Linked DNA regions of Astyanax mexicanus. The protein of the gene in region 2 purifies or fractionates together with the protein of the main gene of each other region. This does not show direct contact. Links are inferred from orthologs where the notes say so. Each region holds a gene or a part of one and is shown on either strand. Other genes may lie near its edges.

Evidence for each region.
Region 1: the proteins of aatf (region 2) and ngdn purify together in Homo sapiens (affinity purification with mass spectrometry; 3 studies listed by BioGRID and IntAct, with this or other methods). This does not show direct contact. The link is inferred for Astyanax mexicanus from reciprocal best matches to the Homo sapiens genes AATF and NGDN.
Region 3: the proteins of aatf (region 2) and nat10 purify together in Homo sapiens (affinity purification with mass spectrometry; 3 studies listed by BioGRID and IntAct, with this or other methods). This does not show direct contact. The link is inferred for Astyanax mexicanus from reciprocal best matches to the Homo sapiens genes AATF and NAT10.

Annotation. Positions count from the first base shown.
Region 1 is NC_064408.1:89,576,913-89,587,903, forward strand, and holds ngdn (neuroguidin), read right to left. Parts: upstream 6,992-10,991; 5' UTR 6,941-6,991; coding exon 6,917-6,940; intron 6,561-6,916; coding exon 6,501-6,560; intron 5,216-6,500; coding exon 5,144-5,215; intron 5,066-5,143; coding exon 4,928-5,065; intron 4,663-4,927; coding exon 4,578-4,662; intron 4,024-4,577; coding exon 3,971-4,023; intron 3,879-3,970; coding exon 3,752-3,878; intron 3,569-3,751; coding exon 3,394-3,568; intron 3,134-3,393; coding exon 2,986-3,133; intron 2,810-2,985; coding exon 2,755-2,809; intron 2,618-2,754; coding exon 2,598-2,617; 3' UTR 2,506-2,597; downstream 1-2,505. UniProt on the Homo sapiens protein: Part of the small subunit (SSU) processome, first precursor of the small eukaryotic ribosomal subunit.
Region 2 is NC_064408.1:25,956,874-25,967,864, forward strand, and holds the start of aatf (protein AATF), read right to left. Parts: upstream 6,873-10,991; 5' UTR 6,821-6,872; coding exon 6,736-6,820; intron 4,457-6,735; coding exon 4,283-4,456; intron 4,198-4,282; coding exon 3,766-4,197; intron 3,520-3,765; coding exon 3,382-3,519; intron 1,467-3,381; coding exon 1,352-1,466; intron 413-1,351; coding exon 196-412; intron 1-195. Other genes in the region: LIM/homeobox protein Lhx1b, read right to left, coding at 10,077-10,450. UniProt on the Homo sapiens protein: Part of the small subunit (SSU) processome, first precursor of the small eukaryotic ribosomal subunit.
Region 3 is NW_026040047.1:1,200,882-1,211,872, reverse strand, and holds the start of nat10 (RNA cytidine acetyltransferase), read right to left. Parts: upstream 7,173-10,991; 5' UTR 6,870-7,172; coding exon 6,756-6,869; intron 5,465-6,755; coding exon 5,373-5,464; intron 4,481-5,372; coding exon 4,309-4,480; intron 4,224-4,308; coding exon 4,101-4,223; intron 4,012-4,100; coding exon 3,950-4,011; intron 3,293-3,949; coding exon 3,178-3,292; intron 3,103-3,177; coding exon 2,995-3,102; intron 1,610-2,994; coding exon 1,476-1,609; intron 1,378-1,475; coding exon 1,284-1,377; intron 89-1,283; coding exon 1-88. Other genes in the region: caprin1b (caprin-1b), read right to left, coding at 9,786-9,872, 9,970-10,076, 10,539-10,736. UniProt on the Homo sapiens protein: RNA cytidine acetyltransferase that catalyzes the formation of N(4)-acetylcytidine (ac4C) modification on mRNAs, 18S rRNA and tRNAs.

The DNA.
Region 1 (10,991 bases), about 64 Mb from region 2:
TTCACCGCTGTGACACAGTGTTTATATGCCCCCCTCCGCCGCCGCTGTCTTTATCTGTTTATAATGTGAGTGTTAGCCCCGTGCTAACGGGCCTACCGTCACTCTGCAGTCTCTCAGCTCTCCGCGTCCACTGTTACTCCCGGACACCTGCGGTACCGCTCCCTGTACTCATACAAACCCGACCCCCGGCTGACAGCTCGCTCCCCCGCTCCTCTAATCCGCTTTTATGAGCCCCTCTCTCTGCCTCAGACCCTCCATGTTGTTTATGAAGCGATGCGCGTTCACGACGATCACGTGACACGGTCGCGAACCCGAGAGCGAGATCCACAGACTAAAAAAACAAAACTGGAAAAAAAAAAAAAAACAGGGAAAATATATTAACAAAAACAATATCTTGTAAAATATATACAGTAAAACATACACTTAAATATACAGTAAAATATACATCTAAATATACAGTAAAATATACACTTACATGCACAGTAGAATATACACTTAAATATACAGTAAAATATACAACTAAATATACAGTAAAATACACACTTAAATATACACTATAATATACATGAAAATATCCAGATATTACATAAATAATATAAACTAATATATACACAAATACAGAGAATATTATAAAAAATGTTATACAGTAAAATATACAGATTTACAAAGAATATTAACAAAAATATTGTACACTAAAACATACAGATTTACAGAAAATATTAACAAAATTATATACAGTAAAATATACAGATTCACAGAGTATATTAACAGAAAAAATACACTAATACACACAATATTAACAAATATACACTGATATATACATAAATATAGAGATAAAATTAAAATAATAAATCTAAAGCTCTTGATATAAAAACACACATTTAAAGAGAATAATGACAAATATAGATAAAAATACATATGCAACTAATTTAGATTTTTAATCATGATATAAATAGTCTTGACAAAATATACATATTTACAGAAAATGTGCTAGCTAAAAAAATATTTAAAAGCTGTGAGCACTGACAAATTTTTACATAACCTTTTCTGATATTTTAATACTGTAAAGAGAAAGAAACATAATCTGGCATAAACATTAAAGCAATGTGAGTAATGTTATATGTGGGTATTGTTATTTATAGACATTTTGCCCAAACTTTTGATGCAGATTTTAGCAAAAAGGTTTTAGTTTTTTTTTTTTTACTATATTAATTTGTATAAACGTTTATTTCATAGATTTGTCCTTCTGTTTTCTTTACAGAACACAGATTCAATAATATGTGTAAAACTGGGTAAAAAATTAACCCAGTGGTGGCTTAGGGTAATCATATACAGTATTAGTGCAACTCTATTAACCCCAGTCTGAACACCTTAAAAACAATCATAAACAAATAAATATAAAAGAATGACCTTTTATAACTGGTAGATGATGGAATGGTGTGGAGATGGGGAATGTGGAGACTGTAGAACAGGCATTATTTTCGTACATATGCAACTTACTTGCACTTACATTTCTTTGAGTGATTTAAAAAAATATATATTTGCTGGTTAAAGGATAGATCAAAGAAATGAAGTGGCATGAGCCAGAGCAGGAACGTTCAATGTTTCTCGTGTTCTGTGTTAAAGAATTGCTTTTGCTCCAGCACACCTGGGTCTGATATTTTGTTGGATCTGAAAGCTCTCAACAGATAATTCAAGAGTGGCCAAAAAGAGTCTACAGCTGCGTTTGGAATCTATCCCTATAACAGAAATAGTGCACTCTGTAGTGTGTCAACTATTTTGAAGTGCTGTTTGATCTCAGTAGTACATTTAAACCCTCAGATTTTCCACTTGAGATAGTGACTATGTAGTAAGTGACCACCACAGAGCAGTTATTATTTAGGTGATTGGTTGTTAACAGCACTGCAGTGGCCCTGGGCTGTGCTGCTGGAGTTTTTAAACAGTGTTCATTCTCTGTCCTCCACTCTATTAGACACTCCTACCTACCTGCTCCACCTTTTAGATCAGAGACAGTAGCTCATCTGTTGCTGCAGTTTCTGTTGGTCTTCCTCTACGTTCCCACAGGACGCTGCTGGCTGAATATTTCTGGTTTGTGGACTATTCTGTCTAACAGTCACACTGCGGGGTTATTGTCCAGCAGCTCTTCTGCACCACCTCATCAGTGTTACTACAGGGCTGTGAATAACCGACCAGTGAAAGACTTGAATAACGTACCTAAAGTACTTTTGCTGAAGTAGCAAAAGGTCAGTTTAACATGGCTGTCTTGTACACATGAACCCCACTGTGGGTTTGCAGAGAAATATACTATGTTCAAGAACGTGCTAAAGCATTCAATTATGTGCTTAAACGTCAAATAACATTCTGCGTAATTCAGTAATTTGGTGCATATAAACACTGAAATGTCCAGAAATGTGATGTAACATTCAGTAAAATTCAGTGTAACATGCTGCAGTAATCACTGACACATTAAATACATTGCAGAAGGAAAAAAAATACAGAACTACATTCTGGTTTATTGTTTTTTTTATTTTGAAATCTTTAAAGAAATTGCAACCTCATCACACTGTCTTATTCTGGACGTTGAAAAAAAAAAAATCCTACTTGCGTTTCTTGAACACTGAAAAGTAAAAGTTCAACAAAAATTAATTGTCAGTTAAATCCATATCAATTATATTAAAAAAAGATATAATAACGACAGCAAATATCAAAGTTTGGGAAAAAAGTAAGTGCAATATTCATTAAATCCAGACTTACTTTTCTTTTTGTTTTTCTTCATAAGCTTCTTCTTCTTCTTTGGTCTTTCCACATCCTACAACATAAAAGAATAATTATTTACTATGATAATTTAGATTATTATTCATTAACAGACCTGCTCCATCTGAGCAGTTTTGAGAACATCACTGCTGTGTAGAGATTATGCTCTCATGATTTAAGAGTTTATGGTTTATTATGAGTGATTTTAATAATGTTTTTCAATGTGCTCACCGCTGTCTGCCTGCCAGTCAGTGCCGTGATGTCACTGAAGTGTGTGATGTTGCCCAGTTGTGAGGTCATTCCCACCATCCGCCTCTTTTTGGCCTTCTGTTCTCGGGTAAGACTTAGACGCACCATCATGGACTCCTCATAGTTCTTCCTAAAGAAAGACAAAGAACAGTGATCTGTAAACACTGAGGCCAGACATTGCAGGCATCATCACAGAAAAAAAAATCAACCAAGATGGGGTTACAGAGGAGCTGCTTCCCAGCAGGGAAAGAGAGAGTGCACAGCAAGTTATGTTATGCAAGGATTGTACCTCCAGCTTTATAGAGCCAACACAGACAGCTAATACAGTACAAAGTATATTAATCTGTTATTCATCTACAGTAACTCTATAATTCAGTATATTTTTCTTACCTGTGTCTGTCCTCTTGTATCTCACGATCAGTCTGGAAATCTTGGCGGTCCCGGATCTCCTCTGGAGCATCACTGTATTGTCGCCGGAGCTCCTGGATGACGGAGCTGCGCAGAGCCGCTTTCCTCTGCTTATCAGCAAAGTCTTTCTGCCGGTCCGACTCGGTCATATCCCCGCCTGCAGTTCAACAGACAAGACAATTTTACCAAAGTGTATGTGATCTGTTGAGCAGCACTCAAAGCCACAGTCTCACCACAGTGATGCTGATTAAATACTTCCATAAGAAACTGATTTGAATTTGAAAACATTATTTGGATTATTGGATTATTACTAAACCATTAACTGAATCATGCATTTTACCATAATGCATTGGGGCAATCTTGGGTGGTACGTATTTCCTGCCAAGTCCTGTTTTCTGATCATCTTTTTCATCTCCTGGTTCATGATCATCATCAACATCATCATCTGAGTCTTCAGCTTCGCTGAGCTGCATAAACATAAAAATACAATAACTAAATTTGGAATCCAAATGTCACATGACCAGGTACAGGCAATTAAAGGGATCTGAGTGGGTTTTACCTTACTGGCGAGATTCTCAGGATTTGGACGAAAGTGTAAAGGATCATTCGCGGCTGTAACAGAAGATACAACTCTAGTTAGGAGGCATATTCATATTCACTATTCTTTTGTGATACACAATGTATTCCTGCACACATCTGACTTGAAACATGATGAGATTTTTATTTAATCCACAAAAGTAGATGAAGAAAAAAACGGATTAATTAATGAAGCAAAAGGGATAACTTGCAAAGGTGAAGTGTGAGGTGACCACAGTGCAATTATAAGATCAAGGATAGGAACAAAGCAGATTATTCTAGTCTTATATATTCCATTTTAGGAACAATTAATTGAATTATTTGTGTTTAAAAATATGGGGTAGCAATTCTCACTCCTATGTTTCAAGAACATAAATCTCGGTATTCATGTTCTAAGAAGTGTTTAATGGCTTGAACAAAGGAAATTAGAGAAATCACGCCCCAATATCAAACATGTAAACCAGGAGTGTCCAATCTTATCCTCAAAGTATCAGTGTGGCTGCAAGTTTCGTTGGAAACCCATGGTTTAATGACTAACATACCAGTGCAGTCTCTCAGCCCTTTATACCAGTGAAAACAATAAATCTTACCCAGGCTGCCAGTGACTGCTGTACGCACCAATTTATCAATCTGATACTTCAGTTTCTGATCCAGGGGACGCATCTTTTCCAGAACCTAAATATTATTAAACAAACAGAGAAAATATTAGAGCCTTTTGATACAAACATTGAAGAAGAACATGGGCCCTGTTTCTCCAAAGCATCATCATCAAAAAAGAATTGTATAGTGCTTTTTACAACTGATGACACAAAGATGCTTTACAGAAACGTGACAGTCTTAAGAGATACAGTGCCAAGTTCTTAAGTTAAAAAAATAATAAAATAAAATAAAATAAATAATTATTTGTCCCTTATTTCTGGAGACTAAACAAGTATCTTACTGTTCTTATGGTGACAAGCCTGTGAACAGCAGCACTGTCCTTCAAACTGTGTCCTTCTGACTTCAAGCTGATCAGATGAGTAAGATCTTGTAGGTAAAACAGTAGGAGGTGATATCGCAGGTCCAGAAATGACAAGCCCTGCAACCAGAACAGTGTCAGCAGAGAAACTTTAGCGACAGATGCATTTATATACATTCAGTAGAGCTCTGTTCTTACCTTGGACATCTGATTAGCCTGTCCTTGGACTTTCTTTATCAAGTCCCAGACATGGCTCGTCACAGAAACCACCTGAAATTAACAACAGGATTTAATAAAGCCAGTCATAAAGGACGTTCCTCAATCACCCCACGTGGATTATAATCAGTATACCTGTTAACAGTATAACTGTTTTAACTTTGTTTTTTTATATAAAGTTTTTTTTTTGCATAAAACATTAAATGAAAATAACATGACATAAGAGAAATAAGCTGCAATACAATTATTATTTTAAAGGATCTGGGCCTAGTTTCTTAAATCTTAGCATTATTCTTTGTTAGTTATGTTCATTTGTCAGGAACAGCAATGATGTTCTTGGGTCAGTTTGACCTAGTGCATGTTTAATTATAATAACTAAAGATGTCTCCATTTTTAAACTCCATTATCATAGCTTTATTACATGCTAATTATTCTATCAAAATTTAGTGCAATGGTGTTCCTTCCTTCTAACAGATAATGGTTCAATTAGGATAATTCAGTCATTTTTTATTAAAAAAAATACATATTCAAACATAATTGTTTACTGCTTTATTACCTTTAAAAGACCAACAAATAAAACAAAATAGTTTTACATAACACTGAACATAAAGTTTTGTTTTAGTTTTTGCAGGGGGTGGTTGCAAATATGTGAGATGAACCATTTTCTTTTTCTTTTTTCTAATTTTTCCCATTTTCTCCCCAATTTACACAGCCAATTACCCAACCCACTCATTAGGACTCCCCCTATCACTAGTGATGCCCCAACACACCAGGAGGGTGAAGACTAGCACATGCTTCCTCCGATACATGTGAAGCGTGCCACCGCTTCTTTTCGAGCTGCTGCTGATGCAGCATTACCGAGCAGCCAGCACGCTTGGAGGAAAGCGCAGCGACTCTGTTCCGGTACATCAGCTCACAGACGCCCTGTGCTGCAGTCATCAGCAGTGATGTGGGGAGAGAGCGCCATCTACCCACCCAGAGGGAGCAGGGCCAATTTTGCTCCCTCTAACGCCGGCAGCTTGATAGCAAAGCTGCATGAGCTGGATGAACCATTTTCATAGTATATGTTGATTACACTAATTAAGACAAGCAGAAGAAATTTCATACTGAAAAAATATTTTTTTTACTATGTTTACTTGATCTTTAAACTTTAAAACAGGACTCCTAGAATAAAAGGAGGGTTAGGAACATCCTAACTTAGAGAGAGTCCTTAAAGTGAAGCTCGCTTGACCATCTAAAAAGTCATCTTAGTGCTAAGAGCCTTTTAGGGAAGCCACCCCTGGTCGTTTTATGTACCTACATATAGAACATTTAAGGCGCTGTTTCAGCAGCTTCTGACCTGTTCTGTGAGTGTGTTGAGGAGCTGGACAGCTTTGGGTAAATCATCACCAACACAGACCTGAAAAAAGTTAATAATAAAACAACAATATGTTAACTAGTTTTCATTTATAAATCACAGACAAATCAGGAGGGAATAGCAGGTAAAGGTAAAACTGTTGTTTAGCGTTTCCTCGCTGGGAGAGAGAGTCTGTATTCAGGTAATGTGGGTAGTTAGTGTAGTGGGATTTATACAGCGCTGGGTCTCCTCTCTGCAGCTGCTCCTCTTTAAACAGTAGCTACAGCGCTTCCATCTTCTATACAGTTTTACCGTCTTATAGATAAGACTCTAGTCGCGCTCGCCCGTTAATAATCAGCACGTTTAGCTCATTAATCCGCTTTATAAATACAAATTTACCCACAAACACAACAACTCACGTTTTGTACACCGTTGGCCGCCATCTTGAACTACGGCGAGCTGTTTAGGACATGACGGACAGCTGGTCGGTTTTCCGTTGCGCGGTTTTGCTGTTCAGCAGGAGTTAGCTCGTGGCAGTAGTTTTAGACAGAGAGACAAACTAAACCGATTAAAGTATTTAAACTATTAGTTTGTAAAACAAGCGTCAAAAGTGTAATTTTATAAGGCTAATATTAACATTTACTCCTTGACACAAGGCACATTAAAAAAAAAACATTTATATTTATGTTAATTAATATTTAAAACCCTGCTAGAAAATCCAGGTCAAGACTAGCTGGTCATTTAAATAATAAAACAAAATAACATACCATGTTTTCTCTGGATGACCAGCTGGTCTTGACCTGGATTTTTTTGCAAGGGACTCTATTTAGCATCTTTAAACTACAGCAGTGACAATGAGCCAAGTTTTTTGTTTTAGGGACAGCTTGTGTGTCATGAGAGTATTGCTAGTGTCGAGTTACGGTCGCATCTCGATCTTGATCTTTCAGTTTAAGGTGTTAATGTTTAAGTCAGTATTTTTCTCGTCCTGCATTCAGATAAAGTTAATTGTGTTTAATATTATCGCAAGTCTTTAAATAATTTTGGCTCACTCAATTAGTGATGTGAACAATGTAAAACAAGCTATAGGAGAGCTAAGGGAAGTCGCAAGGCAAGCGTGGGAACGTTTACGGAACTGGACATGGATGAGTTTCCAGAGATGGCTCGGAAACCATGATTCTCCTGGAGTGTTCTAAAGGTGGAGAAACTGGTGGAGCTGTGGTGTGAGCAAGAGTGTTTCTTTGACGTGTCTTCTTCTAATAATAATAATACAAAATTAATAAAATAAGCTCTAAAAGTATGTAGTTGCAGTTGGGCAAATATAACACTTCAAGGTCCCCATGATCTTAATTTGTGACTAAAACTTCTGTCAGTAAAAAGTCTGTGACTAGTCTTTAGATGTGAGAGGTTGTCAGAATAAAGTCTAAATTTAGTCTGTTAAAAGTTTTTTCAGAATTTTTTTTTCGTAGTGTTAGCATAAGGGGGCTTCTGACTGACTGCACTCGTCCTTGTTGCAAGTGGCCTGCATCTTTCTGTGAGTGAAAAAAGAAAGAAGAAAAAGAGAACTGGTGAGTAAAGCAGATAATAGCAATTAAATATATATCACTAAATAATGTAATACTACTAGTCTCCACTTATTATTTTAATGTTTAACATTATCTAGTTAACCTAGCTAGCACAACAGCCCATAACCTGTTCAGGTCTGCTGGCTGTGAAGTGATTAATCCAAAGTTACTAAGTTAAGATAAAAAATTGTACAGATTTATTCTAAATGACATTTGCTCTAAGCTGTTTTTGTGTAAACTGCTGTGCTATGTGGGCAGTTTATGTGTGTTTTATTGTATGTTTAATATCTGACGTGCAGGTTTTTATGATACAAAAAGGCTGTAAATGATGTGTTTATGTTAGTATGTAAGAACTGTTGGTGTCACATCTAGAACATGATGGCGATATACGCTGGTTTGAGGGGACCGTGTGACCAATTTTTGCCTACAGGGCCCCAACAGACTTTTAAAATTGTCACTGGTCATTCTCATGCAAAAATCAGAGATAAACCGATATATACACATAAAACACATAAAAACCTTAACATAAAATACACATACTAATACAAATTAAATTCTTCCAGCTTCCAGTTATGATTTAAAATATCACAGAGCGCACTCTCATATTTCTACACTAGATGGCGCTGCATTCCTATTTGTGTGTATGTGTGAGTGGTCAGTAGATGCGGTTCAGGTTAATAGTCGCTGTAAAGAAGCAGCTGGAGGGTGAAATAAGGCCGAGACAGATGGAGAGTGAAGAAGGATTGTATAGGAGAGATTTACTCTGATTTATCTAATTTAGTAATCTGACTAGAGATACACATGGAGAAATAAGATGTGTAAAGTCAGGCAAGTCCGTTTCTTGCCACAGATGTAAAGTATTTTGTACAATTAATTTGTACTTATTTTTTGTCTTTTAAAATCAATCCCATGTTTTTTCATTTAAAGAAAATTTGACGTATCAAGGGCTTTAAGTTTAACTTGGTTTAAGGCCTGAAAGTGACTGGTCCAGATCACTTCTACACACTAACCCTGTACACATATTTTATATCGTGGCCTCCTGGTGGAGGTGCTTGTGTCACTGTTCTCATTTTTCTGTCAGTAATGTCTAATTTAAAAAAAAAAAAAGATATATATATATATATTTATTTTCTCTGTAGTCATAAAACCCATCAAAATGGTTAGGATGAAACTGGCTCTTATCAGGACCGCCCCAGGAAAGGAAGATCAAGAGTTCCCTCTGTTGCACAAGAAAGGTTAATTAATGGTTAAGGTTAATTGAGTTACCAGCCTCAGAAATTGCAAGTTAACATCACCACAAACTAGAGCACCTAAATGCTTCACAGATTGAAGTCTGGATGACTTCAGTATTACAGTTTTTGTCAATTGCTAATATACTAAAATGATGTGCATGGTATAAATATTAACTATCATTATTAACTGTCATAGAAAGGGCAAAACCTGTTCTCAAGTATCCAGCACTCTTAACACACAGATTTTGCAATTCAAAACACTGAACAATGCACTGATCCACGGTTCTCTGTACAACAATCAGACACAACAATCTGACTTAAAGTCACTTAATTCCATACAGTGTTTGCTATTTGGTGCAAAAGTATGATTCTGATAATGCTATATGTAGTTTTGCTTGCAATGCTTTATTTTGGACATGAGATATTTGGAGTTTGCAAAATTGTGTTTTGGCAGTTGAAAAAAACTGCAATTTACATTGTATGAAACACAAAAAAATAAAAATATTGAATGAGAGGGTACTTTTGGCTGGTAATGTATATTTTTCACATATTGCATGGTTCATGCCAACAATAAGTTAAATAAAAGGGAAAAATCTATATTTTACATGTGTTATAATGCAAACATACAAGGTAAATATATTGATATATATATGTAAACATATTTTGTTCAGACAGCTGATCATAATGAATTTTGTTGAATTTATTAGGAGCTGAAGGATTATGAGATTTTGAAAGTATTTAACTGCTATGACAGTGTAAAGTGTGTGTGTGTGTGTGATGCAGGTGTGATGTAATTAGTGACCATTCAGAGTGGACAGTAGGTCAGCATACTTAAAGAGAGCAGTGTTTTAACTCATGTTAGAGTAGACAGTTTCGAGCAGTGGTGGAGCTGACCTTCAGGAGACACCGTTACTGTTAAACATCTCTACATGACAGACCTTACAGGAAACACACACACACACACACACACACACACACACACACACACACACACACACACACAGATAATCAGCTAAATGCTTTTACAGTAATAAGCCCACCACCACTGTGCTCACTGTCTGTAAACAAAAGGCAGAAACAGACACATGCACACACACTATTTACAGGCCGTAGTCTCATCAGTAAATGGCCTTACAGATACTCCCAGACCCCCTGTGCTGTTGGGGGTCTGGCTGGCTGGAAAAGGTGTAGTTAAATTAGTCCTTAGCTTCAGAGTCATTTACTGGATTAAAACCTCATAGACCCCTACTTACCCGCATAGTAGCCCAAAGACCTCCACTGGTGGACAGCAATCTGCAAAACCCCTTTTAGACCTGCACTAACCTATAAAGACCCACGCAGATCCACATAGTCCCTCCTAGACCAGCACTGACCCACTCACACACGTGCACAGTCCCTCCTACACCAGCACCTGCCTCACACAGACCTTCACTGACCCACATAGACCTGCACAGTCCATCGTAGACCAACACTGACCCACACAGACCTGCACTGTACAGTCCTAGTAATGTCTAGCATACTTGGTCACTGACCCGTATTGACCACTGTTGACCCTCGTAGATCTGCACTGACCATGACCGACTATTGTAGATCTGCACTGAACCATGCTGCCCCATGCAGACCCACATTGACCATGACTGACCCTCATATAGACCTGCACTGACCCACACAGACAATCACTGACCCCTATAGCCCCACAG
Region 2 (10,991 bases):
TTTCTGGTTCAAGTTCATTTATTTGACACGTTTTACTAAATCTATTTTACTAGTCTTAATAAAAAGTGAAATTGCAATTAACAGCAATCATTAATGATTTTTTAAAGTCAAAAACAGTAAAGTGCGTACACAGTATGTCCATTTTTAATATTTTATATTATATTTTATTAATTTTAAATATGATCCTGCACTTACCTTATTGGTCTTTCCCATGGTGAGCCGCGTCTTATCGTACCATTTCTGCAGGGTGGCGTCTCGGTAGGGCTGAAAGGCCACAAATCGCTTGGCCATGAAATCTGGATAATCTGTCATGTTCAGCTTCCGCTTGGGAGGTCTGTTTAGACCTGTGTGCCTTTCCTCTTCTTCATCTTCATCTTCATCACTATTAATCTCCTCATCTTCTTCAGCTTTGCTATATGGGGAATAGGGTCAGAATTAGAGTTTTCTTTTTTCTTGTATATTTACACTAATTATACATACCTTAATTTCAGCTTTAAGCAAACGCAGTAAAACCGAATCAATTTAAACTTTTTTTTTTTGTCAAAAATACAGCCATATTCAGAAGTTTTTCTACCTCAGAATTTTCTGCAGAACCTCAATAAATCATTTAGTTTAGTAAAACATCTCTTCTTTATTAGGGATAACTGGATCACTTATGTTTAGTATAGTAACATAGCTAAGTTTATTATTTCTTCACATATTGGCTGTTTTTCTAACTGGAAGAGAGTAACGTAAGCTCAGCTATCTTTGTTTATCAAAAGATTGTTTTCCACTGTGTAAATTTCGAGTTAGCTAGCTAGATGTTATTTATTTATTACAGCCGTGATAATAAAATGATAATGCTGAGATAGCTGCCTAGCTAGCTAACTAAATGTGTGACTAGAACAGCATGGATGAAAAATACATTTTTGTATATAATGGCGTTATTGACCTAAATGTATGACTAGAATTGCACTGCTGAGGTACATCTATGATTAAAAAACACTGCTGGGGCATCTTATCTATCTTAAAATATGAATAATAGGGCTGAAAAAAAATTGATGACTAGAAGTGCACTGCTAGGATAAATATATTGTCCTTTTCTGGTACTTCTGCTACCACATCTAATTGTGGTTTTTAAATTGCTTTTTGTTTGCAAGACAAAAAATACATTTGGGCTATTTATATTGACTGTAAAAATAACTGTTTGGTTTCAATCAAAAATCTTATGTTCATTGAATGTCTAATATTAGTAATATTAATATAATATAAAAGGAATATTAAACTAAAAAAATATATAATATAAAAAGAAGTCCCTAAACCTAGCTACGGTGTATATAAAAGTGACAGGTTTTGCTGTGGTGTGAGTTACCTGTCACTTCCCCAGGTTTTTCCCTGTGAGATCGCTCTAGTGTCAGGGTTCTGGTACAGCAGCAGATCCTGCAGCTCCAGCAGAGATCTCTGCAGAGCCTTCAGGGCTTTGTGGCCTAGCAGAGACAGAGACAGGGTTCACACAATATTTCATTAACCTCAAAGGACAAACACATGGCACTGTTTGACGCTTCACCTTCTTCCATAGCAGAAACAAAAACAAAATGACAACTAGGTAAAAAAAAATAAAAAGAAAAAAAGCATCCTATCTCCAAAGCTTCCCTGTGAAGCTGCCAAATGGACAATATGACATGTCTCGAAAACCTGCACAAACAAACAAGCCACACAGCTTCTGCTGGTCTCTACGTCAGCGGTTATTAATTCATGTCTTAAACCCTGAATAGAAAAAAAAAGCAATCCTGTAATCCATTATTATGGAGAGAGAGAGACGGAGAGAGAGAAAGAACGAGAGAGAGAGAGAGTGTAAGAAGGGGAAAAAGATGGGGGAGGGCACGCAGATCCCATCATCTTCAACGCTAATCAAAAGTACACGAGCTCGGCAAAAGCCCCCGCCCTCTCTCCCATAGCAATGCGCTGCTCACAATTCAGGAGGACGGCCCCACATCAATCATTCGCCGCCGAGAAGACCCAGGCAATAAATATGCAAATGAGGAGCAGCCAGTCTCTGAAAGCAGGGCGCTGTGCTTAAGAAAGGAGACGAGCGCAAATGTATTAATTGTTCGTAGTCAAAAGAATCCTGAGAGTGTGGCCTATGATTAGAAAAGTACGAGGGATTCTGATTTTCTGGCTTTAATTCACTCTAAACAAACAATGGAAGTTTAAAAGGCAAGGCAAAATAAAGCTTTTAAATTACATACATATGCATAACAATGTGGACAAAAGTATTGGGACACCTACAGACATCATATAATATGGATTTGGTACCTCTTCTTAACAGCTACACTATACTGCCAAACCATCCAAACCATTGAGTTCAGGTCTTCCAATCACAGCTATGGCCACAGGTGTTTAAAATCAAGCAGCTACGCATGTAGACTGCTTCTATAAACATTAGGGATGGAATGGGTTGCTTTCAGGAGCTCAGAGAATTCCAGCGTGGTACCGTGGTAGGATACCGTCTGTGCAAGACCTGTGCAAGTCCAGTCATGAAATTTCCTCACTACTAAAGATTCCACAGTCAACTGTCAGTGCTATTATTGTAAAGTGGAACTAACTGGCAACAAATGCAAAGTGGTAGGCCAAACAAATTGACAGAGCTGGATCAGCAGATGCTGAGCCACATAGTGTGTCACTCACAGCTGATGGAGGAATATCTAGGAGGAAAGTAATTTCACCAACTGCCTTGCTATTACAGAACCACCCTGGAACTTAGTAAACTCATCCACTCTTTCACTAATGTTTAAAAAAAAACATGCAGACTGCATGATTAGGGGCTTGGTTTTATACACGTGAGAAAGTGACTGAATGTTTAATTATTGTCGCAAAACTTTTCTCCATACATAATCTGGCAGATGTTCTTTACACGATGTCCAAATTTGTTCACGATCGGACCAATTCCAAAACTTCAAATGACTTGGAATAACATATGTACCAGTATATATGATGTTGCAACTGCACTGTGAAATATGAAATTGAAACATAAAAAAATGGTAAAATGATTAGACAAAAACTATAAATATATATATATGCTTGATATTTTTTTAAATGTGGAAGAAAACGATGGAGAGACAGGGAATTACTCGCCAAAATAGTTATTCATAAGGTTTTTTTATGATTAATCATGTTCTATTGCACTCTTGAAATTAAACAAATATGTTTTACGAAAAAAAAGTAAATTATGTAATAGCTAGACAAAATATAAACATTTCAGAATGTTTTTGTTACAATATAATACAATGTCTTCATAGAAGAGGTTCCATGATATATTTTCACCAATCTTCGGCACAAAACAAATGACAAAACTAAAAAAAAAAAAAATACTTCCAACCTCTGTAAATATGTTCCACTTACTGTTTTTCAGCGCTCCAGCATACTCTGCCCCACCCTTACTCTGAAATTCTGGGAAGGTGTTAGGCTGTGGAAGTTGATTGGCCATTACAAGGGCTTTCTGCATTTTGATTCGTCCTTCAAGTAACTGATCCCAAAGAGCTGTGGAGTTTGAACATAACAAAACACTAATCATAAAACACTGATCATTGCACAGGGCAACAGCTGTAGTTTCGCACACATACAAAAAATAGCATTATATCAGTCACACACTCAGATTTATTAACAAATAAAATAATTTATACAAGTCATTTATTTACTATATTTATTATAATATATAGGGAGGCTCACAAAGTCTGCCCACTACACTACATCTAATTCATAGTCAGATTAGATAATAACACTTACCAAGCTGACTTTTCACTGCTTGGCCCTTTTCCACCTCTTCATCCACTTTCTGCTTTGAGAAGGTCATCACACCTCCAGAATCATCTTCATCACCCTCCTCCTCCTCATCCTCATCGTCTTCTCCTTCCTCCTCCTCACTGTCCTCTTCGTCCATCTCACCATCCTCCTCAGAGTCACTCTCTCCCAGGTCGTCCATTCCCTCAGTAAACTTCCTGAAGTCTATCTCTTTAGGGATGTTTAGGTCAGTCCTTTTCATCTTGGTGGCCAAGGAGGACATCTGTGAACTGTCATCCTCGTTTAGGTCCTCATCTTCATCATCCTCATCTTCCTCCTCATCACCTTCTACACTTTCCTCCTCATCTTCCAAATCTTCACCTAGCTCTTCATTGTCAAGATCTTCATCATCATCATCATCATCATCATCATCATCAGCTGAGAAAAATCATTCAAATAAAATAAAAATACATACATTATTAAAACAAACAAAAAATCATATCTGATCGGTCTTTTTACATACCTGAACCATCAGCCTCTTCTCGCAGCTGTTTGCGTGATACAGCTTTGCCTTGATAGCGTTTATCAGTGTCTGCCAATAGAGTGGGGGCACGCTTCCGCAGCCCACCAGACTGGAGATCCTTGTCGTCATCATTACCACCTTCATCAAACTTGTCTATAACTCTGGCTTTGGTTTCTGCAAAGACAACAGCATACAAAGGTTAGAATTAAATAAGAACAAACTGCTGTCTATTGTGAGTCTTAGGGATTTTAGTGTGCCTACGTTCCAAATAAAATATCGAAATTTGACACATCGTATCTAAACAATAATATCCAACAATACAATATATCGCTGTATCGAAATACAGTACAGCTTGTTCATTTCAGATGTTTCTGAAGGGAACAGATATGACATTTTAGGGCATAATGAAGCAAAAGCAAAAATGAAGTAAAATTTGCATTAGCCCTCTGCACTAGTTTCTGCATTCTCAAAAGTTCTGAAGCTAACTTCTTTGGGATGAGCTGGGATCTTTTCTAGCTGAACACAATTTACTGACATTACAACATCTAGTACTGCAGCACAGGAGGCAGCTCCACAGATTAATGAAGCAGGCCCGGGACCAGAAAGTCTCTAGTTCAAGCCTAAGAACCAGTTTCCATATCTGAAATGCCCTGTCCATCAGCCCTGATGTATGGTCTTGCTGCCTTAATTCCTACTTTGCTAAAAAAAAAAAAATCAGCTTTAGACCAGCTATTCATCTGGAAAAAACACCCTATGCTGGTAGGCTAGCTTGTTAACTAGCTCTTGGCCAGCACAAGATGTTTTTTCCGCTAGTCTTAGCTTGATTTTTAGTAGGTTATATAATATAAGTGTTAAATGTGAAGGTTTAAGTTTGTTTGCTGTTGTACTGTATCAGTTTATTTGTTTTCCCTTCCTACGCCACACACCTATGCAAAGAGGTGACGACATAATCACTAATACACACATAAATAGCTTACAAATAAAACATAACAGATAAAAGTTCAGACGCCTTCTCATTCAATGTTTTTTCTTATTTCTATACTTAATCCATTTTCTACATTGTAGATTAACATTAAAGACATAAAACAATTATGGGGCACATATGGAATTATGTAGGACACAGTAAAAAGTGTTTGAATTTCACAATCTACTCAACTGAACACAGCTGAGAAAGTGATTTGAGGAATTCCTTCAAGACACTGAGAAAACTTTTCCAGGTGACTCTACCTCATGAAGACACTCTGAAAATACCAACAGTGTGCAGATACGTCTTCAAAGCTAAGACTATGTCCACATTACAAGCCACATTGCTCAAACCCCATTTTTCACCAACAACAACAAAAAACTCATAGCTCATAGCAAACATTTCGTCTGAAGTACATGTTCAGGTCGAGGAGGTGAAAAAGGCCAGGTGGCTTGCTTTTGCTGTTTTTGCAGCGATAGCTACACAGATGCACCAAGAGATGTGTGGGTATGAGAGAGAAGCACGAAGTGCAACCCATGGATTGGATACATATCCGATTTAAAAGCACATATGGAAGTGACCCAAATATGATTTGAAAAAAAATGGATTTGGCACATTCACACAGCCATAAAAAATCTGAGCTGAGCCACATTAAGCAAAAAAATCAGATTTGAGTCACTTTAGCCTGGTAATGTAAACGTAGCCAAAGTAACTCAAATCTAACTTGAAAAAATCTGATTTGGCATGTTCACACAGCCATGAAAAAAAAATCTAATCTAAGTCACATTGAGCAGAACATCAGATTTCAGTCACTTCAGCTTGGTAATGTGAACGTACCCTAAAGGTGGCTTGTAAGAATAATCTAACTCTGATCTGTTAAACACTTTTTCCTGTGTGGATTTCATATATTCAATATTACATTTATAATGTACAAAATCTTAAACAGAAAGAAAACACATTGAATGAGAAGTAGAGGTCCAAACTTTTGAGTGGTAGTGTACAGGGTCTCACAGTCTACAGCTGAGCAAATATGAGCTTTAAACTGGATACGAGCTAGTTATAGGGTTGGAAATTATATTAGTTAACCTAGCTAACCTAACTAGCTAGCTAACTAGCTTACCTTACTAGCTACCAACATACCTAGCATAGCCTAGCTAGTGCACTAGGTAGGGAGTAAGGCGGAATGATTAGGGACCAAAGCCAAGACAAGAAACATTGTTAAAAACGTTCAGTAGACGTTCTAGTTATTATTTTCCCTTAAAACATTCATAAGAACTATTAGATAAAGTGATTTGTGATTTGTTATGTAGCTATAAGTAGCTGGTTAGGTTAGCTAGCTAAGTAAACAGTGTCTGTTAGCTTTAGCTAGCTCTCATTAGACAGACCCGCACGCGCACTGCCATTCACAGCCACATTCTCCACTCAGCATTTAATACCCGCCGCCAGTAAACCAGCCAAACGATGAGCGAATAACCCGCCAGTAACGCACCTTCATCCGGGTCGTCCTCGGGATCTGCGAAGGTCGGTAAAGGGTTTAAAAGCTCCTCGAGCTGCTGGGATATGGAGGCTGCCATGCTGCCTCTTCAGAGTCTCTGCGTCATCACGGAGAGACAGCCGGGTTCAGACAAGGGCGGTAAAACCATCCGCACCAAGAAACATGTGTGTTTGTGTGCGCGCAGCTACTACAGAGTAGTGGTAAGAGGCATCTGTTATGAGAAGGGTGGTACAAAATTCAGAATTCAATTGAAAAATACCTCAAAATTTGAATTGAGATATTACATACAAAACAGATCATTAAAACTGTAAAACCTTTAAATTGTGGGAAATTATAGGACCGCACTTAATTGTAGATTAAATTAGACATAGCAATTAAGGTACATGTACACAATTACATAGTAAACAAAACAAATCCCCTGACCTAAACCCAACTGAGATGGGTGATTTGAGGTGATATGAGATGAGCTGGAGCCTCACAGCGTTCAGTGTTCATATTCACTCAATTCTGGGTTCAGGAAAAAATATATAATAAAGTTTGTATTTTCACATTAGTGAGAAATATTCATATATTATCACTGATGGTTATTAACTTCTGACTATTGAGATTTAACTTTAACACTATCCCTAACTCCCATCATAAACTTTTTTATACTTTGGTAGCTAAAGTTTTAGTAAATTTAGCTTCTTTTGAAGTTATTAAAACAAAGCTGCAGTTATTAAAGAGTTTAACAAGCACATATAATTTGTCATGTTACTGTATATGATATTCCATAGAATAGCATTATATAGACTTTGTTGTTTGGATACATTTGTATCTGTTAGCTATCACCACTAATCCAAATTGGATATAAGCAATTGTCTTGTTTATGGTATAAGTTATTATTCCTGTGAAAACTTCCTAATTAAATACATGGAGCCCTCAAATATTGACTGGTCAGAACAGTAAAGGTAAGCTGGCCGCATTCAATGAAAGTTATTTTGTATTTATTTTTTAAATGTTATTCTGAAATGGGCATCGAGTGGTCCAGCGGCGAGTGGTCCAGCGCTGACACTATGAGCGGGAGGTCGCAGGTTCGAACTCCAGCTCATGCTGCTTTGCCATTAAGCTGCCGGCGCTCAGAGGGAGCAAAATTGGCCCTGCTCCCTCCGGGTGGGTAGATGGCGCTCTCTCCCCACATCACTCCTAGGGGTCTGTGAGCTGATGTACCAGAACCGAGCCGCTGTGCTTTCCTCCTGTGATGCTGCACGGCAATGCTGCCTCAGCAGCAGCTAGAAAAGAAGCGGTGGCTGGCTTCACATGTATCGGAGGAAGCGTTAGGGAGTGTTAGTCTTCACTCTCCTGGTGTGTTGGGGCATCACTAGTGATAAGGGGAGTCCTAGTGAGTGGGTTGGGTAATTGACTGTGTAAATTGGGAAGAAAATGGGAAAAAGTTAAATAAAATTATATAAAAAAAAATTATTCTGAAATTAACTAAACCTGGTAAAATGTGTCAATAGCATTGTGTACCAAGAGGGCCAGGAAAGGGTCAGTGGTAGCAGTGGCAGTGGTTAGAGCACCAGGTCTTTAATGACAGGTTTGAGGTTATGCTTAAGAATTCTGAGGTTGTCCTTCTTTTACCTTTTTTCATTTACTTTGTGGAATGTACCCATTCAACTGACTACCAAACAGCTCCAGAATACCATGCTTACCAGCAACATGTAACATACAGTATGCTTTCAGATGTAAATATATCTCTGGTCATTATGGTCAATCAGAATGGTCTTTGTCTTATCTAACTTTTATGGTCTTGTCTGTAGGCAGAGAAACGGTACCAACTGCTTTCAGTTCATGGCAGCTCTTTGCCTTGGTGTTGTTTGGGTTGTTCCTGACAATCCGGACCAACATTCTCTCAGGTATGGTTGCCATGTTAGATGGCTACATCTCCTAGTAACTTGTACTTACATGCATTTATTTAAACTTATGATCTTCAACTCTGCAGTCATTCCAAGAAACAATCCTTGCTTGTGTAAATCTGTGACTATCCTTTTCTGATCTTCAGAGAAGTGCTGTCAAACAAATCCCATGTGGGCTTAGGAAATCTACAAGCTACAACAGGAAGTTAAGAAACCTTGACAAATTGAACCAAATTAGTTATAATTATAAGACTATATAAATTTTCAATAGACAAATACATTCCATGTTTATTAGCAGTGTTAGCCTAGCATCTCATGTTGAAAACTGAAGGAGCGAATATCTGATATTAAACATGTTTTGGCTACCTATGGGGAAAATGATAAATTATCACCATTCTTTTATCCTTTAGAACATAATTGAGTATAACTCCAGCTCTAGTAGCTCTAAAATAGTTTCAAATATATTTAGGAAATAAATATGTTTATATTCACAACATATATAACACCCTTTAAAAAAATCTGCAATTGGTTTCATGAAAGAAATCATCATCAAACACCTGAATTCCTATTATGTTGAGTATTTGTTTTTATTTTTTATTGTGCAAACACAATATCATACAAATTAGCACAGTGAATCACAACTTAAATTTAAACTGAATGAATACAAAAGTTTGGTTGTTCGCTTGAGGAAAAAAAAGTAATCATTCTTCATCTGCACCAAGATTTTTTTTAAATAATGCTGATATTTAAACCCCTGAAGAAAATAGTCGTAAACAGTTGACTGCTTTTTGTCTACTACAGGTCACAGCTGAAATTGTTCTCATAAGGTAGACTTTGTCTTACAGTTCAAGCCTTTTTTATTTCAAATAAAGGGTTTAGAACTCTGTTTTAGGTTTTACCTTTACAGACAAACTCTGAAATTTGGTGAAACTTGGGAAATAATGTAACTGCCCAGTTACATACATGTTTATTTGGGTTTGAAGAAGGGATTCCATTTCGGAGTTGATATAACAAAACCGCAAAAGGCAATCAGCTTTGCGATCTTTGATTATGATACATGATAAACTGATATATTACAAACATAAATAGTGTATAAATGTTGTCTTCTATAATATGCCAGGACAATCAACAGTGCTGCTGTAGGGTGCTTGTACACCTTTTTGACATTCATTTCATAAATACACAAATATAAATTCGCAATAAACCAATTAAAGTGGTGCAATACAGTGGCCTGCTTGTATTTATTGACATAAATATATAAATATATTAAATAAATAAACATAAAACCAAACAAAATAAATAAATATATAAATACATAGATCAACTTATTGAAACATCCATATTAAGATCACAACCGAAAAAGTACATTTCCAGGCCACCCTAAAACCTGAGTCCGTTTTGTTGCGTTTCTTCGGCCTGAATGTTCATAATGCCCATGGGCTACCATACAGTGCCTTCACTCATTTCTGAAGAGGGCTGGGAGAGCTGGTTGGTGTATCCGTTGGTGCTGAGTGACGTTACAGAGGTGAAGGGGACACCCATGTCTGTGGAGATGGTGCGAATGGAGGCAGGCCCGCTGGGCTCCGGACTGGGGGAGTCCCCGGGGTGGTGTGTTACCATTTCCCCGAAACACTGGCTCTCAGCAGCCGGGTGATGAGCCGAATGATGATGGTCCATGCTCCCCAGAGGGGTGCCTGTGGGGCCAGACAAGGAAACATAGCCTAGATCATCTGGGGTCTGAGCCTGTGAAGACGGAGGACCCTGGGGGAAGTAGTCATAGTTGCTTCCTGGGCCGTAGTATTCACCTTGATAATCTGGTGGGACAAATAGTCAGGGGTGAGGGCCAGCGCATATCAAGATGTTCTTAATTTAGAAGCATCAGATATTGTATAATATTACATTTTATATTACCTTTTAGGCCATATATTGCTGATGGTTTTTGTGTGATATTGATATGTAACTTGAGCACATAAATTACATACACGTATGTAAATAGTACAATATTGTGTGTAAAAATCTAAAAACAAATTCTATCTGTTGAAATACCATTTAAAAACACTAATAACATAAAAAAAATCGAAATGTACAATAATTTCAGATTTTATTAATAGCATTATTAGGGATTGACAGTATGTACAGTTACATTCCAACACCTAGGTTATCTAATCAATCTTTTATTGAAGTAAACCAGATGCTGGTGGAGGAAGTGAACAAATCCATACAGTGCCACAGTGTTCACTGTATTCTTCTTACTCTATTCTAACTTCTGTTCAACCTTGGTAATGAGGGCCCACTGCCCTGCACATTTTAGTGCTTTTCCTGCTTTAACACACCCACTTTAAGTAATGGACTGTT
Region 3 (10,991 bases), on a different chromosome or scaffold from region 2:
GTCGATGTTCCTTAAATATGTTGACTCTGACCACAGCTTTATTAAACTCGGGGTTTAAAGACTGGATAATTTCATAATCCAGATGTTCCTGCCAGACAAGATCATTAAGTTTAAAGATAAATAAACTCCTAACATAACCATGCATTCTGATATATAACTGGCATTTAATTATATTATTAATCACAATATGTAAGGTTCTGTACGACGACACTGCACTTATTATGCAAATACAATTACATAACAAAATTAAGCCCTAATTCATCCAGACCGAAGAGGACCACACAACTCACACCGTGTAAAATATCCTTCAATTCTAGCACATATAAAGTATCAGTCAAAAGTTTGGACACACGTTTTCTCTTCTTATTCAGTGTGTTTTCTTTTTTTTTGTATGATTTTTATATTATTAATTAATATTTTATATTATTTATCAAAGCTCTACAGCAACACACGCTGAAATATGTAAATAAAAAGTGTTAAAAAAAGAATATGTTTTATACTTTAGATTCTTCTAAGTGTCACATTTATCTTTGGGGACATATCTGCACACTTTTGATATTTTAATCTCAGTGTCTTCAAGAGGGAGTGCAGGGGTCGGCAATTGTTTGAACCATAATGAAAAAAAATAAAAATCTTCTCTGGTGTGCTTTTGTTTACATGCCTCCCCTGTCTCTCTCTCTGTGGCACTCTGCGTGACTTCAGTTTCCAGCTGTTCTTGTTTTTCTGCCCGTTCTCATCTCCTTATTAGGGCTTTTTTTCCCCGGCCACGTCCCAATTCACTAGCCGGGGCTGCGGTTGAGTATTGGACCATGACCCTAACGACACAGGTTCAATCTCGTGTGAGGAGCGGAGTGTTTATTTATGTATTTTTTCCTTTCTTAATTTATTTTATTTTTTTATCTGCTTTGAATTCAACTGTTCTGTAACTGGGTTTAACAACTCACTGACCTGGAGAGCTACTAGTCTCATTGCACTTCATTTTACAAAACAGAATTTATTTTTGCGGCCCGCCAAGTATTGGCTTGAAAAAAATATCTGGCCCACAGCCAAACTTAATTGCCAAGAGGTAGAGTCACCTTTTCTCAGCATCTTGAAGGAGTTCCAGGGGTGTTGCTTTTACTTCACGCTCAGTTCATCAGGTTTAGATCAGGGGATTAATAGTTTTCTTTTAATATTAAATGAAGAAATACAGAAAAACGCTGAATAGGAAGGTGTGTCCAGACTTTTAACTGGTACTCTATATAGATTTAGTAAAAGCTAGTAAAATTAACTGTGATCATTACCTGATACTGCAGGGCATCAAAGCCTTTGAATATGAACTCAAACAATGTGTGCAGATTGTCTGGGCTGGGCGACGTAACAAAGATGTTGGAATATCTGTAATAAACAGATCATACAGTTTAATATGTTTTAATCAAACATTTGATTAAAGGTGATGTGTGCCACTAAACAATATACAGAATACCACCACACACCCGAAGGCCACAGCTCCGGCCACAGCCAGCCCCAGAGCTGCAGACTTGCCCCGGCCTCTGGCAGCAGTGAGGGCGACAGTGCTTCTCAGAGTCTTTTCAGATATCGCTTCAATGAACTTTAGCACAGCTTTTGCCTGAAAATCACACATAGACACAGAATAAAATCATTAAAAATATGATCCTGCGTCTCGCTGCCCGAGGGACGCATCTATACATCTTTCCAAGCTTTATCTCATTTATTTCCTTCTATTTTCATGTTTCGTACATAAGGCGCACTGGATTAAAAAGTGACACTAGTAAAAATGCAAACTAGAAGGGCATCACCATGTCTCGCCTCTAATTCATCAGATCACACAACTGTATTAAAAAAAATAAAAAAAAAAACTTTTCTTTCAAAGTCAAACGAGTGCTGGATGTTAATCTACACAGATTTTTCTCCTAAAAACTGTTTATTTAGTTTGGTAAAGCGCTTCGGTTTAATTACAGTAAGCTTAGATTTCCAGGGTAAGTCAGGGTGATATCAGCTAGAGGTTTGTCCCACGAAGCTTGTTTTAACACAGTAAGGCTACAGTCTAATATACTCACTTCTGAACAGCACTAGTGCTGCAGTTAGTGGCTAATGCTAATGCCTGACCGGTACAATTCATATATGTAATGCTCACTGGATTATACTGTCCATTTTTGGGAAAATGTAAGTATTTAGGTGTGCCTTATAGTCCGAAAAGTATGTTAAATAAAGGGAGAAATGTTTTTGTTTCTTTTTATAGGAATGTTAACTAATAAAATGGCTTTTTTCCTCAAGTCTACTTGTGTAGATAATGTATTTGATGTGAAATGATTTGGATCCTTTGTGATTTTAGACAGACTGTCCTGGCAAGTGAGACGGAGGACATGTACTGTAGAAGCCTCTATTCCAGTGCGCGTGGAGAACGTGCTTAAATGTTTTGACTGGAAACGTAATCCCATGCAGGCGTTAACATGGCTATAATTCTTCTATTTAACAGATCACATGGCTGTGTTCCAATCCAACAGAGCAATTAGTCGGATTATTACAGTTTGTAGCATTGGGCTAAACAACATCCAGTTTGCAAAGAGGTAGTCAGCAGAAGATGACATGTCTCTCCAAACCATCACTGATTGGTGGAAACTTCACTCTAGACCTCGAGCAGTTTGGACTGTGTGTCCACTCTTCCTCCAGACCCTGCTCCCTTAATTTATAAATGAAATGTAAAATTTACTGATGATCAGTGATGGTTTGGAGAGACATGTCTGTCATCTGCTGGTGTTGATCCACTGTGTTTTATTATCAAGTCTAAAGTCAGTGCAGTGTCTTACAGCACTTCATGCTTCCCTCTGTTGACAACTTTTATGGAGATGCGGATTTCATTTTCCAGCAGGACTTGGCACACTGCCAAAAATAAAGTTTATTTTTAATGATATTCTAATTTTGCACAAGTACTTTTGCTGAGCGTTTTATTCGTGTAAAATATAACTTAGATAAAAGCTCTTTCAGCCGTACCTGGTCCATGGTTTTGCAGCAGTCCACTAGAACACCCACGGGTTGAGTGTCCTGCAGCGATTCCTTCAGGTCCTGCAGCTCCTGCTCCCCTGACGACTGACCCTCCTCCTGTAGGAAGAGCCACACAGCATGAAGGACAGCAGTCCAGGTAAATGATCAGGACGTGTTATTGACAAATCATACCTGATTTTTAGGTGGGACAGGTTTGACATTTGCAATGTGCTTGGAGATCGGCAGAACATTCAGTTGGTCATCGATAACAACGCAGGTCTGACAGGAGGACAGGGACAAGATAAACCTGTGAAGATGAAATGGAAACAGTCGGTTAAATGAAAATGTTCTGCATCACATCTGCTGAACATCTTTAGTAGGGCTGCACGATATCGGAAAAATTGTACATTGCAAATGTTCTTTTTTTTTTTTTTTTACTATATATTTTGCAATATTTAACAATGCATGGCCCATGACATCACCAGCCCCGCCCCCACCTGCGCGCTGTCTCGTGTCTGAACCGACCATGAGCTGAATCAGCACCAAGCTCTCAAAACCCAAGAAAAACAGCACAACAACAGTGAAGCCTTTAATCAGGCTTTTTAAAAGGTAAATAAGCGTGTATTTCTGGGATTAAAAGTGTGAATTCAGCTGTAACTGACAGCTGTGCTGAACTGAGGTGCACAGCTTTCCACACGTGCATTTACAAGCACACACCCAACCATGTGGATGGAGGCCGTGCGGTTACCTGCTGTTTACTCCTGCCAACACCCACCCTCCCACCGCCCCCTTGAGCTTCTCAGGCAGCGGCAGCCTGTCACTCATACAGAAACAGAGACAGCGCTGTGTATCTACTTCTTGTGTCAAGAATTAAAACTTTGCAACGTGTTTGATTTAATTGCCTTAAGTGACCTCGCACATCCTAACATCCTAATGATATTCTGTTATACAGTATTTTACACACCTTTCATTAAACCGTCCAACAACGTCCTGATGGGCCTCAGTCCGGTAGCGGGAATGAACATCCTGAAAAAGACCACAGACAATCACAACCAACCACAACCAGACTCTTTAACACTGGACTCCAAATCTCCAACAACCAGCAAGACGTTTACCATGGTCATTGTATAGAGCTGCTTCAGTGAGTTCATGGTCCTCAACAAAATCACCACAATGCCTCCACCTTCCACTGTCTCCACAGTTCTCGCCAGGAGGTTAGGAGTCAAAGCCTCAAAATCCTTTTAAGTAAACAGAAACACAGTCACATCTATCCAGAGTACATGGATTTCATTTCTGAACATAAAGTTGGAAAATGTGACAAACCTGAAGAACACACATGCCGTATGTGTTGCCAAGGATTTTGTGGGTTTCGTTGTAGTAGCAGTAGCGGATGTTGGTGGCAGCAATAAAAAGCTCGAAGGGATCGTCTTGCTTCAGGTTCAGCGTGCCTGTTTTTATCTTTTTCTGCAGCTGTCGCATCCTCTTCTTACGATTACTGCAAATTGATCACATTTTTCAACTTAAAAGTCTACACATTTTCTACAGTGATATTACAACTCCAATTCTGATGAAGTTGGGGAAATATTGTGTGAACAAATAAAAACATAAATTGATGATTTGAAAATCCTTTTTAACCTATTTAATTAAATTAACTACAAAGACATGATATTTAATGTTCAAACTAATAAACTTTATTGGTTTTGGCAATTAATATTCATATATATATATATTGAATGTGATGCTTCAGCACGTTGTAAAGTAGTTGGAACAGGATTGTGTTTGTCTCTGTGTTTCATCACCTTTCCTTTAACACTCAGTATGAGTTTGGGATCTGAGGACACTAATAGTTAAAGGTCTTTAGGTGGAATTCTCTCTCATTCTTGCTTGATGTAGGTCTTCAGCTGATCAGCAGTTCCGGGTCTCTGTTTCGTACCTGCACTGCTGGAACACCTGCAGGATGTGTCTCGGCATTGTCTTGCTGAAATAAGCAGGACGTTCCCAAAAAAGACGTTGCTCTGACAGCAGGATGTGTTTCTCCAGAACCTGGATGAAGCTTTCGGTATTAATGGAGCTTCAGAGATGTACAGGTTCTCCATGCCATGGGCTCTAACATAGCAGTTGTTCACAAAGTGGTGAATTTCAGCCAACCCTTGAGTCTTTTAGAGATGCTCCCTTTTTACCCAATTCTGACAGTCTTTGAGCATTCCTCAACCTTCCCATTCTTTGCTGACCCTGTCCCAACTTCTTTAGAAATTCAAAATGAGTAAAAAACAATTAGCAAAAACCAATAGAGTTTATCAGTTTAATCATTAAATATCTTGTCTTTGTAGTGAACTCAGTTGAATGTAGGTTGAAAAGAACTTGTAGAATCATATGTATGACCACACCTGCTAAAGCCAAGCTCTTTCTTATAACACCAAAGGACTGATGGTCTTGCTCGCACTGTAGCTTTGGACAGCATATGGTGCAGGATGACAACCTGCAGCGTACACAGAAGCAGAACACAGGGGATGTAAATGTAGAAGCAAAGTGTCAGGTCAAACGGTCAGCGTAACATTTAGCAGTTTAATTTTCTGACTGTATCAAGCTAAATTCTAAATGATGAAGAAATAGGTTTTCATCCAACTTTTAAATTATCTAGTTTTTTTATTTGAGCCTTTCCCAAACAGAATTTTAAGAGAAATGAAACGTGGAATCTTCTCTCAATTTTCAGATCGGTCCATTTTCTATCTTGTAACCAAAATATGATGGTATAATAAAAATTGCAAAATGCAAAAATTGCAAAATCTGAAAATAAGATTTTTTTCCCCCCCTGAAATTATGATTGTGAGGGGCAGAAATGAAAAAAAAAATTAGATAAATGGATGAAAACCTATTTCTTGTACACTGCACTACATTTAAAAAAATGAAAATGAGTTTCTACATTCAATTTTCTATTTTTGCATTTAGCCACAAATGGTTCGAAAATTAAATTAATAAACATTACACTGACCTCAAACAATCGAACATGTGATACTGTTGTTTTAAATAACAGACTGAACCCAGACCACTCCTTCAACTGAATTCATTTACATCATATAGCACATTTCACTTAATACTGTATTGGCAACAACCTTGTATAATAAATGTACTAAACAGGGTCACAAAATGTAATTACATTTTAGCAAACTGTTCCAAATATAAAAACGTATGATTTAATGTATAAAAAGATATGTGAACAGTGGGATCTGAAGACACTGTACACACCACACCAACTGAATCAACTGATGATTACATGCAACTAATCTTTATCTGTAAACTACTGCTGTGTTCATTACTGCATAAGTTAATAGTGTTACATTATGAAGTATCAGTATTTTCTCCATAGTGGAGAAACAGCTTAACAGAGCTCTAGAGCCGAGACCCAAGTGAGCAAATCAATGGTGACCATTTCAAGGAAAATTTCAACAAGAACCTTTGAGGTATTTTCCAGTGCACAGCAGCCAATCAGATCACCAGCACAGACCCTGTATCAGTACCAACTACTGACACCATCAGCAACTCGCAGAGAACTCCAAACCCTGGACCTGGAGAACAGTGACCTGCTGCACATATTTTAGTGATGCCCTGCTTTTAACAGCAGGATCAGGATGTTAATAAACTGATCTGCTGGATTAAATAGGTTAATGTGAAGAGCAGAATGTAAACATGCTGCAGGCGGAGGTTCCTCTGAACTCCACGTGTGTATTAGTGTAGCTACAGGAGGAACAGGCTGAGGAATCTAACGTTACCTGATCTCGACCATGATCTCCCACCACCACAAACAGGCTGCGGTGATGAAGCGCCACTCCGTTCTCGATCTGCACCCGGATCCGGTTATCCACCTTCTTCCGAACCGTCGCCATGCTGATCTGAACCGGATCAGAAGCCCTGAGCAGCAGCAGGAGGAACACAACAGCTCACACTTTACTATTTAATATCAGTTACACTGAACACCCGACACTAACACTATAACTAACCCTAAACACTAAACTCAGTATCAGTAGACAGGCTGTACCCCGCGCGCTGCTGCAGTTTCCAGGCTGAACCCTGCGCGGTAAATCTGATATAAACCGGGAGGTAATATTCCTGTATTTACTGAATCAGATCATCTCTCAGCACACGCGCTGCGGCGCTCACGTGGGAACACAGTGCCCGATCTGACGTCAGAACTTCTGCGACAGCGGGAGAAAGGACCCCGCTCGGTTGTGTCCCAAATCAGCCGGGGCACCCTACAGAGTGCGCATTTGGGCTGTGTCCCAAATCAGCGCCGGCCTCGGTTCGACAGCATGTCTGGTAGTATTTTTTGAGCACCAAAATTCTTTTAGTATTTTATATCCTTTACTTTTTCACTTTAAATTCTCTCAAACTGTTGCTTTGTTGTTTTAAAAACTGCAAACAAGATAATTTTCGCCATTCATTTTTATTTATTATTATTATTATTATTATTATTATTATTATTATTATTATTATTATTATTATTGTTATTGTTATTATTATTTTTATGTAGACCAGGTAAGTTTAAAATGAATATTGAATACTTTTGATATAATTTCCTCTCGTATAAATAATACATATAAGTGTTATATGTATTTTCTACTTTTATTCTTCTATAAGAGCCACACCATGAGATCTGCTGTAGTTCTGCAGGTGGAGACTGTCCGACTTTACTTCTCCAACCGTTACCCACACAAAAAAAATTCCATTTGCATATTGTGTCATACGGGGTAAGAGATATGGACTTTGAAGTTTGATGCTTCACTATAGCGCCACCATCAGGCCCATAGGCCTGAGCCCGAGCGCCTGAGTAGCGGGAGGGACTACTACCTGTCGACCAACCGTCATGTCTGTACAACTTACGGTTTGTTCTGTTGTTCTGTTTTATCAGAGAAAAATAATTAAACAAAAAAAACGAAGAACAAAAATGTTCCCGCTCATTTGGTGCTTGGACCCTTTATTATTTAAACCTGTGTTGACTACATTGTTTATTAATGATGTTTACAGTGCACATAATTATAATGGGGATGGGGTGGTATAGTTAGGTATAAACTAAGCAACTTTTTTGGTTCTAAAAATCTATTCTTTGTAAACAGGTGTTTTACAGCTCAGATTAAAATCCATGCTCAACTAAACATCTAAATCTGTTTTACCAAAAAAAATGTCAATAAATAAGAGCTAGGTAAAAGTGGGAGAAATCTTCTTTATGCTGCTTAATTCCAAACCAATTGTAATGTTTAAATTGAAGTTTAGAGGTATTTTAGTGGTGTTTAAATCCTCAATCTACAGTTGTGTTTTTCAGCCTTGGCCCTATAGGTGCATCTTCCTGCAGTATTTAGTGGATTCCTTAGTTTAGCAGGTCCTCTGCAACTCGAGAGGGAAAATAAAGTAATGATTAAATTAACTTAAATCAGGTGAGGAAAGATGTAATGTGTATGAAACATAATCTGAAAAATAACTACATCAGCTGTGCAGTAAATATATTAATCATTTGAGATTTACAAGTGGAGTAACATTATAAAGTTTCATAAAATTACTAAAGTAAAATGTACAGTTTTGTGTAACACTTGTTCAGGCTGTTGTCAGATTTTAAGTAATAAAAAATATTTTATGTTTTTTTTTATTGCAGTTTAGATGAATTCAGATACATTATAAAATATACAGACATTACTGCAGTGAACAAAGCTCTAAACAATATTGAAAGAGTGACCAGTGCGTTTAGAAACAATTCCATACACCCACCGATCAGCCCCTCAATCACAGCCCTCCAGGCATTTAAGTACACTGAGGACACTTTTACACTTCTCCTCAATATTAGTGATACCTGTTTTCCACATTAACATCGATCCACATGCCAAGCCATCTGACCACCTTCACCTGATCTAAAACCTAGAGGTGGTTCCTGTTTCTGTTTAAAGAATTAAATAAATCATGTCTTAAACACAGACAGTTTAAATCCCCAGTCACCTACCAAACATGTGATACAACACATACCTCACCAAGACCCTTTATTATTTCAGCAGGAACATATTAAGAGCCTTATATCTGAAATGTCTGAACAGTAATTATTGTGACGAAAAGTTTGAATAGATGAATTGTGTTGGCGTAGTACAGCAGCAGCATTCAACACTGCTTTCTCCACTGCAAACACTAAATAAGTGCACACGCCATCCTGGATCAGTGAGAGTAAAATACACCATATACTGCATTTTATTTAGCAGAATACGTACTTAATATACCTGTGATAAATTGTACATGTAACACAATTAGAGTTTATGCAACACATCTTTATTGAAACGCTCAAAGCAACATCAATATACAAATTGAAGAGTTGGGGCTTGTTTTAAATTCTTTTTGAGTTTTTAAAAAGAGCATCTTTTGTGAACCTAATAAGAAAAAGTACTTTAGGTGCATCACACCTTTAATTTTATAAAAAAATAAAAAATAAATTAGTGAAAATCTTTCAAGTGCACAATCTAGCTTAAAACCTCAACAGTGGTATTTTAGTTCTTACAGAACTTGGGGTCATTGTCTATATTAAGTGTAGCCCTGTACTATGTTCACCTCTCCAAAGAGTAACACTAAACACAGTCGTAGTGCAGGATAGACAGTCCCGCACTACACTTAAGGGCACTAAAAACGGACAGTATAATCTTAATTTGCTTATTTTGTGCCCAGAAAGTTCCTTACTTTTGAAACATACGTTTGAATGAGTTGGACTTATGCGTTTCCACATCTGACTAAACACTAAGTGCAACTTCATGTCAAAACGGTCTCCAGGACTTTTAGGACCGCATGGCTTGGGCATTTCCACGGGGGACACCGCGAGGACCCGGCCCAGCGGGACGTTTGTAATTCTGCTGAAAGCCGTCCTGCAAAAAAAAAACAAAACAAAAAAAAAAAACACTTAAATCAAGAGTTATTTTCCTCTGGACCAAAACCACAAAAAGTTCATAAACATCTACTTACTCTCTGATAGCTGGTGTTGGAATAGTCTCGAGCAGCACCAAACTGCACCTGTCCATAGCCAGAGTTTGGAGTCCCAGAGAAGGGTGGGCGGTAACCATCGTAGCCTCCTATCAGATTTATATTACAGATACACACATTAAAAAGAAAAGAAATTACAAACATTCTAGACAACAGCACAAGACATTTAGTCAAAATTTATGAAAATGAATTTATAAAGGAGATGCTATACAGAATGCCCAGCCTCTTTATTTTTTCTGCCAACGGTACCGAAAACCTACCCAACAGTGGTGTGAACCAGAACGTGAATTTTCTGTACCGTTACACCCCTAGTGTGTATCAGCACAAAGATAAACCATTTGTTATGCCTCACACGCCTGAAAGACTGGTGTCATTTCTACATGTGGAGCATAATAAATATTGCCCATATTAGTCAAACTTTTGAATGATTTTTTTTTGTTTTTCTAACTTTTACCTACTTCCATGCAGTGTTTCAATATGATACTTCATTCTGGCAGCAGCTGTTTATTTGATGATCAATATAAAGCAAACACAAGAAGACCGTACTGTACCTCTGAAGCTGTTGGATGGTCCTCTGTAGCCGTTGATCACACCCCGGGAATTCCGAGGTCCTCCACGGGACACTCCGCGGCTGTTGTAAAAGGACTGCGGCTGGCGGTTAAAGGTGGCGCCTGGACCCACCGGCTGCTGGGACAGGATTGGGTGACCAGCGCAACTATTCAGAGACTGTTCTTGGAAAGAACCAACCACTGCAGAACACAAACACAAATGACACTGTAAACCAGGTAGGAGTGACTCTTCTACAACCATGCTACGCACAGTTTATAGGAAAATTATATTTCTAGCGTTTGATCCTTCTACTCTGTTACTCCACCATCTGAAGCTCTTTACCTTTACTCACACTGATCTGTCCTCTCATACCCTACAGGTAGTTCTAGACACAGGGGTAATTCATATATGGTAGCTGCCCTTTGTTTCTGTTACAGCCTCATTACTGTATTCAG